Callithrix jacchus: one gene and its partners. The protein of the gene in region 1 binds, or shares a complex with, the protein of each later gene. Links are inferred from orthologs where the notes say so. Each region holds a gene or a part of one and is shown on either strand. Other genes may lie near its edges.

Region 1 (3,512 bases):
TCAACATAGACAGTAGTAATCAGATCCCTCATGGTTAGAGAAATTTGGATAAAATCAGGTGCCATTTTTTAGCTAGTACCTTGGAAAAGATCAAATTTGGTAAGAGCCAGTAGTGAGTAGAGTGCCTATTACTGTTTGTGGGAATTCATATTGAAACTTTCTGGAGAGTATTCAGTATAATCTATCAAACTATCAATACAGGCCCTTTAACCAAAAATTCTATTTCAATGAATTTATCCTACAAACGTCAAAGATTGATATTCAGTCTAGCATTGGTTTATAGTAGCAAAAAACTAAAAACAATCTAAGTTCCAAAATATAATGGAATGCTAGACAGCCATTAGGAAGAATGACATTGATTAGTATGTGCTTATATGAATAGTCAAGATATATTAAAAGTTGTACAACAACATAAGAGCATAAACCAACATAGATTTTTAAAAAATATTCATTTAAAAATTCTATAAAACAATCTGTTAACAGCATCTGAATAGGGGTTGGAAGTTGGGGGAAAGAAGACAATGACCTACTTTTCATTGTCTGCCAAAATATACTGTGCATTTTGGTTATATGTACGTTAGTTTTAAATCTTATCTTAAATATTTTTACATAAAGGCATTAAACACACACATACACACACACACACACACACACACTCACTCACTCCCCAGATATACAAGATTATATCCTGTTACTGATTTTCCAAATATTGGAAAACAATTTTCTCTGTATAACTCAAGTAAAAATCTTCATCAGGACTTGATCAAGAGTGTGGTGCTACAGAATATAAAGAGGGTCTAAAGTAACAAAGATACAGAGTCATTCAAATCCCTGTCAGTCCTACCAGTGTGTGACATGTGGCATGTTAACTGACAGAATCATCTGTTTCCAACCTGGATGACACTGCCTACACACTGTAGGATGATAATACGAATTAAGAAATAACACTAATAAATTTTTAATTTGGGTTTCTGACATACAGTAGGTTCTCAGTGATGTTGGTTTCTTTTCCCATCATAAAAGCCAAACTAGATAAAAGTTCTGGCTTGTTTTACTTTCTTTAATGGGATTTCAAGAAATGAATCACACGAACACGCCTAAAGTGGCCAAAGAACAGAGGAAAAGTGACCACAGAACATAATGAAATAGGGCCATACAATGCTCCCTACCAACTTCCCATTGCTCTTTCAGTAAGCATTTTTGTTAACTTTTCTGCCACAGAAAAATGCAGAGTAGACAGATATAATATATAGTTAATGGGAAGGAGGAGTAATATGTAGATAACATATTATCATTCACAGACTTCTGTTACATCATTTGGAAGGCAGGATACATACTTGGGAAAAAAGAGTTTTCAACATATTTAAAAAATAAAATGAGTATGTACTTATTTTTTCTGACACAAAAATTCAGATTTTAATTCATTCTGACTATATTCTCAACCTACTATATGTAATGGCACAAAGAAGGGATAATGCCTTTCAGATTTGTGGATGACAGGAAATCTGCTATTATATGGTACAGGGCAACCTAAATGATAACAGCCTCCAGCTTCTCATAGAAAAAGATACTTAAAAGAAAAAGGGCAATTCTGAGCAACATTCCTTACCTGATGACAGAGCAATGAAAGCAAAGCCAGAGAAGAAACCATTAACATACCCCAGAACCACTCCCAGCTCCTTGACATGAACACGCATCTGCCCCCTCAGGTATTCAGACAGCATTTTACTTTTGAAGTATAGCTCCTGCAACCGGTCTTCAAGATGCATTACACACTGCAGTTAGGGAGGAATCAATAATCAAGTCAGAAAACAGTTTGCAACACTGAGTCATGGCAAATTCCAAAACAAAATGTTTCAGACAATTCTCTTTATTTATTCCAACATGAACTAAAATTTGAAGCACATTTTTAAAGTATGTAGTTTTAGCTAAAAAGGGAAGTGAACCTTTTCCTGGCTCATATCAAAGATTAGCTTCTACATCGTCTTTTTCTCTTAACAGTGCCAAAATACACATGATATAAAATTTACTCTTTTAACAATTTTCTGTTTGTTTGTTTTTGTTTTTGAGATGGAGTCTCACTGTGTCACCCAGGCTGGAGTGCATTGGTGCAATCTCAGCTCACTGCAATCTCTGCCTCCCGGGTTAAAGAGATTCTCCTGCCTCAGTCTCTCAAGCAGCTGGGACTACAGGCATGCACACCGCCCAGATAATTTCTTTTGTATTTTTAGTACACACAGGGTTTCACACCACATTGGCCAGGCTGGTCTTGAACTCCTGACTTCAGGTGATCTGCCTGCCTCGACCTCCAAAGTGCTGGGATTCCAGGTGGGAGCCACTGTGTCTGGCCCCTTTTTAAAGCATTTTCAGTGGTACTAAATACATTGAAAATGTTGTGCAACCATCACCACTATCCATTTCCAAAACATTTTTCTGCTATGTTTTTATTGTAAATTTGATCAATATAAAATTTTTATGAATAAAAAATTTCAATTGTATTTACATAGGAAAGGATGTATTCTGTGGAGAATAAAAAACAGTTGGCAAAACTTCACAAAGAATGCTATGTAGTTTCCCAATTTCTAAGCTGAAAGACTGAAAGTTAAAACACATCTGGGCATGGCGGCTCACACCTATAATCCCAACACTTTGGGAGGTGGTGGCAAGAGGATCACTGAGAACAGCCTAGGCAACATAGTGAGACCCCTGTCTCTACAAAAAAAAAAAAAAAAAAAACAAAAACCAATTATCCAGGTATGGTGGCACGATCCTGTAGTCTTAGCTAGTTAGGAGGTTAAGGTGAGAGGACTGCTTGAGCCCAGGGTTTTGAGGGTGCACTGAGCCATGACTGTGCCACTGCAGTTCAGCCTGGGTGACAAAAGTCAGAAATATATGAAAACACATATATTCTGTTTTTTGTCAATTAACTTGCTCAATTTACTAAAATAGGTGATTTATCATGTGAATTGATGCTTAACATATTTGAGGAAAAAACAGAAGTTTCAGGTGCTAAACATTAGATTCTTCAGTGTTCCTTTCCAATGAAAATCAGCTATTAAGCTCCTAATAAAAATCCACTTTATTATTGGAAAAACACAACCAAATGGTTGTGGCTTTGTAGCGTATATTTTTCTCACAATACTTTAGGCTGATAATGCCATAAGAAAATGTTGAAAACGTTAATTGCTGAATATATGTATACATAAAATATGTAATATAATTATATTACTGTATTAACCACTTGACAGTATATAATTCCATAGTACTAAGAGCATTCACAATGTTGTGCAACCATCAACACCATCCATTTCCAGAACGTTTTTTCATCATCTCAAACAAAAACCCTGTATTCAGCATCTCAAATGAAAACTCTGTACTCATTAAACAATAACTCCTCATTCTCTTCTTTCCTGCAGCCTTTGGTAACCACTATTTTACTTTCAGTCTCTATGAATCTGCCTATTTGTAGTACCTCATATAAGTGAAATCATACACTATTTGTCCTTTTGTGT
Region 2 (4,196 bases), on another chromosome or scaffold:
GTCCAAGTACAGTGGCTCACCTGCAATCTCAGCCCTTTGGGAGGCCAAGGCGGGAGGGTCAGGGCTACACAGAGACCCCATCTGCACAATTTTTTTTTTTAAATTATCTAGGTGTAGTGGTGTGTGCCCGTAGTCCTAGATTCTTGGGAGGCGAGGCTGAGGTGGGATGAGTCCTTGAACCTAGAAGGTTGAGGCTGCACTAATCCATGACAGCATCGCTGCACTAAGCCATGATAACGCCACTGCACTCCAGCCTTAATCCACAATTAGGATACAGCTATAAATGGAATATTCTGCAACTATTACGAAGGACGTAAGTGAAAACTTGACATGGAAAGACATTTATTCTAAACTCTGTGAAGAAGGCCAGATACAGAATTGTACCTCCAATATATATGTCAATTTTGCTTACAAAAGAAAAAAAAAACATGGATATGGTGAGTCAGCCTGTAATCACATTTTGGGAAGCTGCAGTGGGAGGATCTTTTGAGGCAAGGAGTTTGAGACCAGCCTGGATAACACAGCAAGACCCCCATCTCTACAAAAAAATGTAAAAATTAGCCAGCCATGGTGGCTCAAGGCTGTGGCCCTAGCCAGTCAAGAGGCTAAGAGGGGAGGATAGCTTGAACTCTGGACGTCAGGGTTGCAATGAGCTATAATCATGCCAGTGCACTCTGGCCTGTGTGACAGAGCAAGATCCTGTCCCCAAAAAAGTTATTTTAAAAAGGCAAACAAAAAAACATTAAAAGTGTCCATTTGCAAAGACCACTATCTGAAAGGATACTCTCAAAGGGATTAAAAGTCATCTTTGGACAGTGGGACCATAAGTGTTTTCTATTTTTATCACTTTTATAATTAATTATTTTTGTCTTTTTGTTTTTTTCCTTTTTGTGGAGAACGGGGTCTCGCTATATTGCCCAGGCAGATCTCGAACTCCTGGGCTCAAGCTAGCCTCCCGCCTCTGCCTCCCTAAGAGTTGGGATTACAGGCGTGAGCCACAGCGCCCGGCCTATAATTAATTTTTTAAAGTAATTTTTAAGTAGTCCTACCTAGTCTTCCTTACAAGTTAGGACTCAGATGCCACTCTCTTTCCCTAAACTGACCTGAGTCCCCTCACCATAATAAGCACCAGTGTCTTCGCTAAAATCCCAACACTTTGCCAACACAGCTGGGGGTTGAACCTCGCTCCCTCTAGTCCTTTAGTCCTCTGAGTCTTTCCCCCTACAAGCCTATGGACCCGCTCCCAGAGGTCCCCTTCGTACCTGCCCCACAGGCTAGATCAGGCCCTGTCTGACCCCTGGGTTACTGTAAAACAGAACGTCTGGCCCCTAGGTCTCAGAGTCGGTTGAATCAGAGTCCAGAGGTTAAAAAACACTGACACAAAATGCCAGGCCAGGAACTGAGGCACTGAAGCTCGGCTACAGACCTCGCTCCTGAGAGGGAAATCATTCCGCTGGGGAGCCACGCGCGGGTCACCGACTGTCACCTTCGCCAGGCTCTGTGCGGCGGAAGCGCAGTGATGTTTTCCAGTAAAAAACGCGGACGTTGCGCCGTGATCAATTTTGTCCCTTTGGAGGCGCCGTTCCGGTCCACGCCCCGCTCGCGTCAAGTGACTGAGGCCTGTGGTGGAGTCGGACGCGGCGTGCCGCTGGGTTCTGGGCCGGGGTGGACGGTGGGTGGGATGGAGGCGACCTTGGAGCAGCACTTGGAAGACACGTGAGTAGTGCGCGCCTCTTCGGCCCGTCCTGAAGTCGCGGCGGAGGAACTTGAGCGGGACAAAAGGCGCGAGCTGCGAGTGCCTGCCAGGGCGTCTCGGGGACGTCGCGCTACCCCCAGGACAAGGGATGAGGGAGCTGAGCCCTACCCGAGGGCCGCAGGGCGGGACTGGTGACCCGGAATTAAAATTCTGCCGGGCACCGCACATCCCCTCTTGAGCGAGTCTCCTGGGCTCAGGCTACGGCCAAAACTGCTTATCTCGTTGTTGAAATCGTCTTTACGGTCAGGGTTGTTCTGCGGGAGGTTTAGGAAAGGGGTTAACTTTGGGGAAGGTTGTGCCAGTTGTGCACAGTCAAGCCCTGCAGTGTAAACAAACATTTATCTCCTGTGTGTATCCTGTCAGTTACTTGGTACTTACGTAGATCAAAGTCATCCTTTAAATTTTTCGAACAAGCAGTATTTATGTAAAATTCGAAACTGGAAAAGTATAAAGGGTACAGAGACACCTGGCCTCCCAACGATGTCCCTCAGCTTCCATTTACCCTCCAGGAGGCGATTTAAGAGGTTTTCAACAGTTTTAAATGAGTTAGTACTAAAGCATGCATTTTTAACAAGAGTGAAAACATCCTAGATATTGCAGTGTTTGTGGCCCTCCAAAACTCAACAGTACTTAGCAGTTTTTTCTCTCTCATGAGAGAAAAAACTGGTTTATTTAAATTAATTAATTAGAATAATTTTTTTCTTAGAGTGTGATAATGAAAAAAGATTGAGAAACATTGATTTAAAGCACTTAATGTCTGGTACATAGAGCACGTGTATGCTCAAATCCTTTTTCTCCCATTATCTGCTTCAACTCTCTGTGTTCCTGAAATTAGAATGAAGAATCCCTCCATTGTTGGAGTCCTGTGCACAGATTCACAAGGACTTAATCTGGGTTGTAAGTATCTCTCATGCCGTGTGATGAATTCCGTAGCATCTGCTGTTGACTTGGAGCCTAGCGTGGTTTTGTTTTCTAGCTTTTATGTTCTGTTACCTTGCCGGTTCTTTCTGAGTTTCTGAGAGTAGAGATTATCTCCAAATAACAGTATCAGAAAATTGAAAGTTTCAGTTGGTATTTATGAAGGAGGATGTTCCCTGCTGTTCTATAGCACTAAGTAGTTGTCTTTACTAAAAATGGTATTTGAATCATGTTAAATGAAGTCTAGAAAGGACTTGAGAGAATGACAGCTGTTAACCATTTATTGAATGTATGCCATATGCTGAGACTGCTAGGTTCTAAATACACTGCCTTTAATTTTCACAGCAACCCCGCAGAGTGGATGGTGTCCTATTTTTAAGCTCAACTACACTAAACAAGAAGTGAATAGGCAGTAAAATGGGGTTTCAGTGTTGGACATACCTGGGCTCAGTCCCTTACTTTTTGATTTGCTGGCAGTATGAACGTGGACCAAAAACTACCTTTTAGGGCTTCATTTTCTTCACTAGGTTGTTATTTAATAATGGTAATCATTAGAATTACATTTATTGAGCTTTTGTTATATACCAAGCACCATTGTAAGTCCTTTACATATACTAACTCTTTTATTCCTTAAAACAACCCTGTGAGGTAGAAAAAGAAGTGGAGGGGCCAGGCGCAGTGGCTCACATCTGTAATCCCAGCAGTTTGGGAGGCCAAGGCAGGCAGATCACTGAGCCCAGGAGTTCAAGACCAGCCTGTGCAACACAGTGAAACCACCCCCCATCTCTATTTTATATATATGTTTTTAAAATTTTTAAAGGCCAGATGCTGTGGCTCATACCTGTAATCCCAGCACTTTGGGAGGTCGGGAGGCCATGGTGGGCAGATCACTTGAGCCCAGGAGTTCAAGACCAGCCTGTGCAACACAGTGAGACCTCCCCCATCTCTATTTTATTGTTTTTTAAATTTAAAAAGGCCAGATGCCATGGCTCATACCTGTAATCCCAGCACTTTTGGGAGGTGGGGGTGGGGACAAGTGGATCACCTGAAGTCAGGAGTTCCAGGCTAGCCTGGCCAACATGGTGAAAACCCATCTCTACTAAAAATACAAAAAAAAAATTAGGCTCGTTGTGGCAGGTGCCAGTAATCCCAGCTACTCAGGAGACTGAGGCAGGAGAATCGCTTGAACCTGGGAGGCAGAGGTTGCAGTGAGCCAAGATCGTGCTGTTGTACTCCAGACTGGCAACAAGAGCAAGATTCTGTCTCAAAAAAAAAAAAAATTAAAAAGAGAAACTTAGACACGGAGGTTAAATAAGTGGGTAAGCTAGGGTTTTTGGCCCTGAGGCCTCTTACTCGTGATTTTTTTTTTTTTTACAGAGATGGAGTCTTGCTCTGTTGCCCAGGCTGGAGTGCAGTGACACAGTCTCGGCTCACTGCAACCTCCACTTCCCAGGTTCAAGCTATTCTCCTGCCTCAGCCTCCTGAGTATCTGGAATTATAGGGGCCCACCACCATGCCTGAC
Region 3 (3,978 bases), on another chromosome or scaffold:
GTCTTGACGGTGACCCGAATGGGGGGCCTCGTCTCGGCCCCGCTCGGCTCCGCCATGCCGCCGCCGCCGCCACCCGGCCGCCCGCCAGCCCGTCCAGCTCCTCCTCCTCCCCGCCCGCCCGGCCAGCCCGGCTCGGCTCCAGCGCCTCCAACACTCCCCTCTCTCCACCTCTCCCCTTCCTCCCCTCCTCTCTCCTCCCCTCCCCGAGGCTTCACCGCCCCCTCCGGACCAGCCGCAGCCACAGCGCCCCGGGCGGACCGGGGGGGCCACTGCAGCGGGTTCCGCCCAGGGCCGAGCCCCGGGTCCGGAGCCAGGCCCGGGGCTCGCCAGGCTGGGGCCCCTGGGGGGCGCTCTGGGCATGGGGAGGGGCGTGCCCTTCACTGCGGGGGCGGGGACGGACTCCTCGGGGAGACAGAGGCCCAACGCTGCCCGCCAGAGCCGTGCCGCGGTCCCTTCCAGCCCAAAGCTTCCCCGCCCCCTCCGCGTCTAACTCCGCTCCGGGACAAAGGACTTTCTGTGTCGCCGCTTTATCTCCATTCCCTGTAATAACTTGGTCTTTCTTGGAAGCCCAAAGTCCTTTCCAGGCCAGGGGCCTTTCCCGACCTGGAGGTTGGGTTTTCCCACCAAGTTAAGTCCTTAGGATCTTAGCTCTGGGACTGACCCTATAGCTCCGAGGGTCACGGCCTAACTGGTCTATTAAGAATGGTTCCAGGGAGTTGGGTTTTGGCTGCGTGGCCTTTCTGAGCCTTGGTTTTCTCAAGATAATAGTAACAGTTCCCCTCGCCTCATCGCACAAAATTGTGCATAACGGAGAAAACTGTTTTGAAAGTAACCAAAGGCATGCCTGACAAATATAAGGATGTAGTCTAATTATTGAATCGTGGACTGCCAAGCGGACACGTTGACTCCTTTCTCCCCGAAGGAGTTAAATGTCCTTCCAGTGCTGCCACTGTCCTTCCACTCCCGCTCTTTTTGCCCCCCGCAACCGCGTGGTCAGCCTGGAAAGGCGAACTATAGTTCCCAGGGTGCCTCGCGAGGCCACAAGGAACTACGATTCCCAGAGCCGCCCGCGGCGGGGTGGGGAGTTGAGTCGGAACTACAATAACCAGGCGAGGAAACTACAACTCCCAGGGCGTTTGGAAGCAGGCCACGGGACTACGGGAAGCAGAAGTCAGCGGCTCGCGGGAGGCACCTCGGAGGATCTGGGTGCAAAAGCCCAGGGTTAGAAGCCGTAGGCATGTTGCGCCCCAAGGCTTTAACCCAGGTGCTAAGCCAAGCCAACACTGGAGGAGTCCAGAGCACCCTGTGAGTGCGGACCACGGACCCGAGCGGCCAGCCCCGTAGTTGGGCTGCGCGCGGCTCCCTGAGGGAGGGGTGGGGAAGGATCGCCGGGAAGGGAGGAGGCGGCAGAGCGGGCAGCGGCTGGGAGTGCTGGCCAGTAGATACCCTCTCGAAAAGGGAAGCCGGTGTGCTGGGTGCTTAGGGCGCGTTCCAGGACACACTAAGCCCAGACCCTTGCTGGCTGTGCTAGTGGTGGGACTTGGGCTGGAAACCCAGGCGTTTTACTCTCTGTCCTGGGCACAACGTTATCCTTCCCCGCCCCTCACCAGGCTGCTGAATAACGAGGGATCACTGCTGGCCTACTCGGGTTACGGGGACACTGACGCTCGGGTCACTGCGGCCATAGCCAGTAACATCTGGGCCGCCTACGACCGGAATGGGAACCAAGCGTTTAATGAAGACAATCTCAAATTCATCCTCATGGACTGCATGGTATGGAGAGGGAAGCCAGACTTCCCCTGCCCCCCAAGGGGATCCCAAGGGGGTGACCCGGACCCCATCCTGGATGGTTGGAGGGGCAGGGACAGTGTCTCCGGAAGATTACTAAGAGTTGGTCTGCAGCAGCATTCGTAATAGGCAGGACCCTATTCATCAAATGGTGGTGAGGAAGGAGCCCTGGACCTGAGAGGTCTGACTTGGGTTCTGGTTTCAGCCATCCACTTATCAGTTGTGGAACCTTGGGTAAGTCGCCTAACCTCTCTCAGCTTCCTTACCTCATGTCTAAGGAGGAAGCAGCTATTTCCCTTTTCCCGCTCCCCTCCTGGATGGTTGTGAAGATCGGATGAAATAATGGGTATAAACAGTAGAACGATGTGCAAACACGAAGTGTTGTCATCCCAGCCTCGCCGACTCACAGAACCATGGTGGTCTCCAGACCCTAGTCCAACCCCTCACGGTTACAAACAAGGGAAAATGAAGTCCAGAAAGGGGAAGTTGCCGTTAGCTTGTGAACCTCTTAGTATCTGTTTAGTCAATAAGTATTTAGGTCCTTGTAGTGTTCTCAGGACTAGGGAAAAAAATAGCAAACAGAAAGGCAAAACCCCCAGCCCTAATAAATCTTAACAGTGATACAATAATGGCTCACTGCAGCCTCGACCTCCCTGGGCTCAGGTGATCTTCCTGTCTCAGCCTCTTAAGTAGCTGGAAGTACAAGCATCCACTACCACACCTCCCTAATTTTTGCATTTTTTGCAGAGATTGGGTTTTGCCATGTTGCCCGGGCTGGTCTCGATCTCTTGGCTCAAGTGATCCACCTGCCTCAGCCTCCCAAAGTGCTGGGATTACAGGCATGAGCCACTGTGCCCGGCCACATTATTTAAAATAAGTAAAATATGTAGTATGTTAGGTATTGAAAATGCAATGTAAGGCCGGGCGCAGTGGCTCACGCCTGTAATCCCAGCACTTTGGGAGGCTGAGGCAGGTGGATCTCGAGGTCAAGAGATCGAGACCATCCTGGTCAAAGAGGTGAAACCCTGTGTCTACTAAAAATACAAAAATTAGCTGGGCATGGTAGCGCGCGCCTGTAGTCCCAGCTACTTGGGAGGCTGAGGTAGGAGAATTGCTTGAACTCAGGAGGCGGAGGCTGCGGTGAGCCGAGATCGTGCCATTGCACTCCAGTCTGGGTAACAATAGCGAAACTCCGTATCAAAAAAAAAAAAAAAAGAAAAGAAAATGCAATGTAAAGAAAGGAGGGAAGTGAAAGTATGAGTTTGTTGGGTGTATGTGTCAGAGACAGTCTCACTGAAAAGGTGACATTTGATCAAAGATCTGAAGAAAGGTCATGGCAAGCCATGTGGCTATCTAGGGGAAGAATATTTTGGACAGAACAGCAAGCACGAAGGCCTTGAGGCAGAATTGTGCCTGCCCAAGGATCAACAGAGTTGGTTGGTATGGCTGGAGCTGCATGAAAATGAATGGAGGGTGGTAGGAGATGGTGTCAGAGAGGCAGAGAGTGCAGTGCTTGGTTTCCCGCGTAGAATGAATACCTAGTAAAAATTTGTTGAACTTACTTTTTTTTTTTTCCATATCGGCCAGAGGGTGAACTCTCTAGGAAGGGTCTTCATTGTAACCCAGCTGCTATTCTCTTCTGCCACCTGCACAACCAATGCTATTTTAGTTCAACATATGACGCTTAGTGAATGCCTAGAGCTGGTGCTATAGCTTTCAAACGTTTTGACCACAACCAAGCCATAAGAAATACATTTTAAGGGGCCAGGCACTGTGGCTCACGCCTGTAATCCCAACACTTTGGGAAGGCGAGGCAGGCAGATCATGAGGTCAGGAGTTTGAGACCAGCCTGTCCAACCTGGTGAAACCCCATTTCTACTAAAAATACAAAAATTAGACCGGGTGCAGTGGCCCACACCTGTAATTCCAGCACTCTGGGAGGCCGACACTGGCAGATCACCTGAGGTCAGGAATTCAAGACCAGCCTGGCTAACATGGTGGAACCCCATTTCTACTAAAAATACAAAAAATTAGCCAGGTGTAGTGGCATGCGCCTGTAATCCCAGCTACTCAGGAGGCTGAGGCAGGAGAATCACTTGAACCTGGGAGGTGGAAGTTGCAGTGAGCCAAGATCACACCATTGCACTCTAGCTTGGGCAACAAGAGTGAAACTCAATCTAAAATATATCT

What was found. Proteins that work in one complex are often made in the same cells at the same time.
Region 2: FNIP1 (region 1) and LAMTOR5 share a complex: the UniProt entries of both Homo sapiens proteins name them as parts of the lysosomal folliculin complex. The link is inferred for Callithrix jacchus from reciprocal best matches to the Homo sapiens genes FNIP1 and LAMTOR5.
Region 3: FNIP1 (region 1) and LAMTOR2 share a complex: the UniProt entries of both Homo sapiens proteins name them as parts of the lysosomal folliculin complex. The link is inferred for Callithrix jacchus from reciprocal best matches to the Homo sapiens genes FNIP1 and LAMTOR2.

The regions. Positions count from the first base shown.
Region 1 is NC_133503.1:77,027,101-77,030,612, reverse strand, and holds part of FNIP1 (folliculin-interacting protein 1), read right to left. Parts: intron 1,776-3,512; coding exon 1,660-1,775; intron 1-1,659. UniProt on the Homo sapiens protein: Binding partner of the GTPase-activating protein FLCN: involved in the cellular response to amino acid availability by regulating the non-canonical mTORC1 signaling cascade controlling the MiT/TFE factors TFEB and TFE3.
Region 2 is NC_133508.1:148,257,664-148,261,859, reverse strand, and holds the start of LAMTOR5 (ragulator complex protein LAMTOR5), read left to right. Parts: upstream 1-1,394; 5' UTR 1,395-1,519; coding exon 1,520-1,716; intron 1,717-2,591; coding exon 2,592-2,653; intron 2,654-4,196. UniProt on the Homo sapiens protein: As part of the Ragulator complex it is involved in amino acid sensing and activation of mTORC1, a signaling complex promoting cell growth in response to growth factors, energy levels, and amino acids.
Region 3 is NC_133519.1:16,441,551-16,445,528, forward strand, and holds the start of LAMTOR2 (ragulator complex protein LAMTOR2), read left to right. Parts: upstream 1-1,176; 5' UTR 1,177-1,237; coding exon 1,238-1,305; intron 1,306-1,610; coding exon 1,611-1,773; intron 1,774-3,978. Other genes in the region: UBQLN4 (ubiquilin-4), read right to left, coding at 1-360. UniProt on the Homo sapiens protein: As part of the Ragulator complex it is involved in amino acid sensing and activation of mTORC1, a signaling complex promoting cell growth in response to growth factors, energy levels, and amino acids.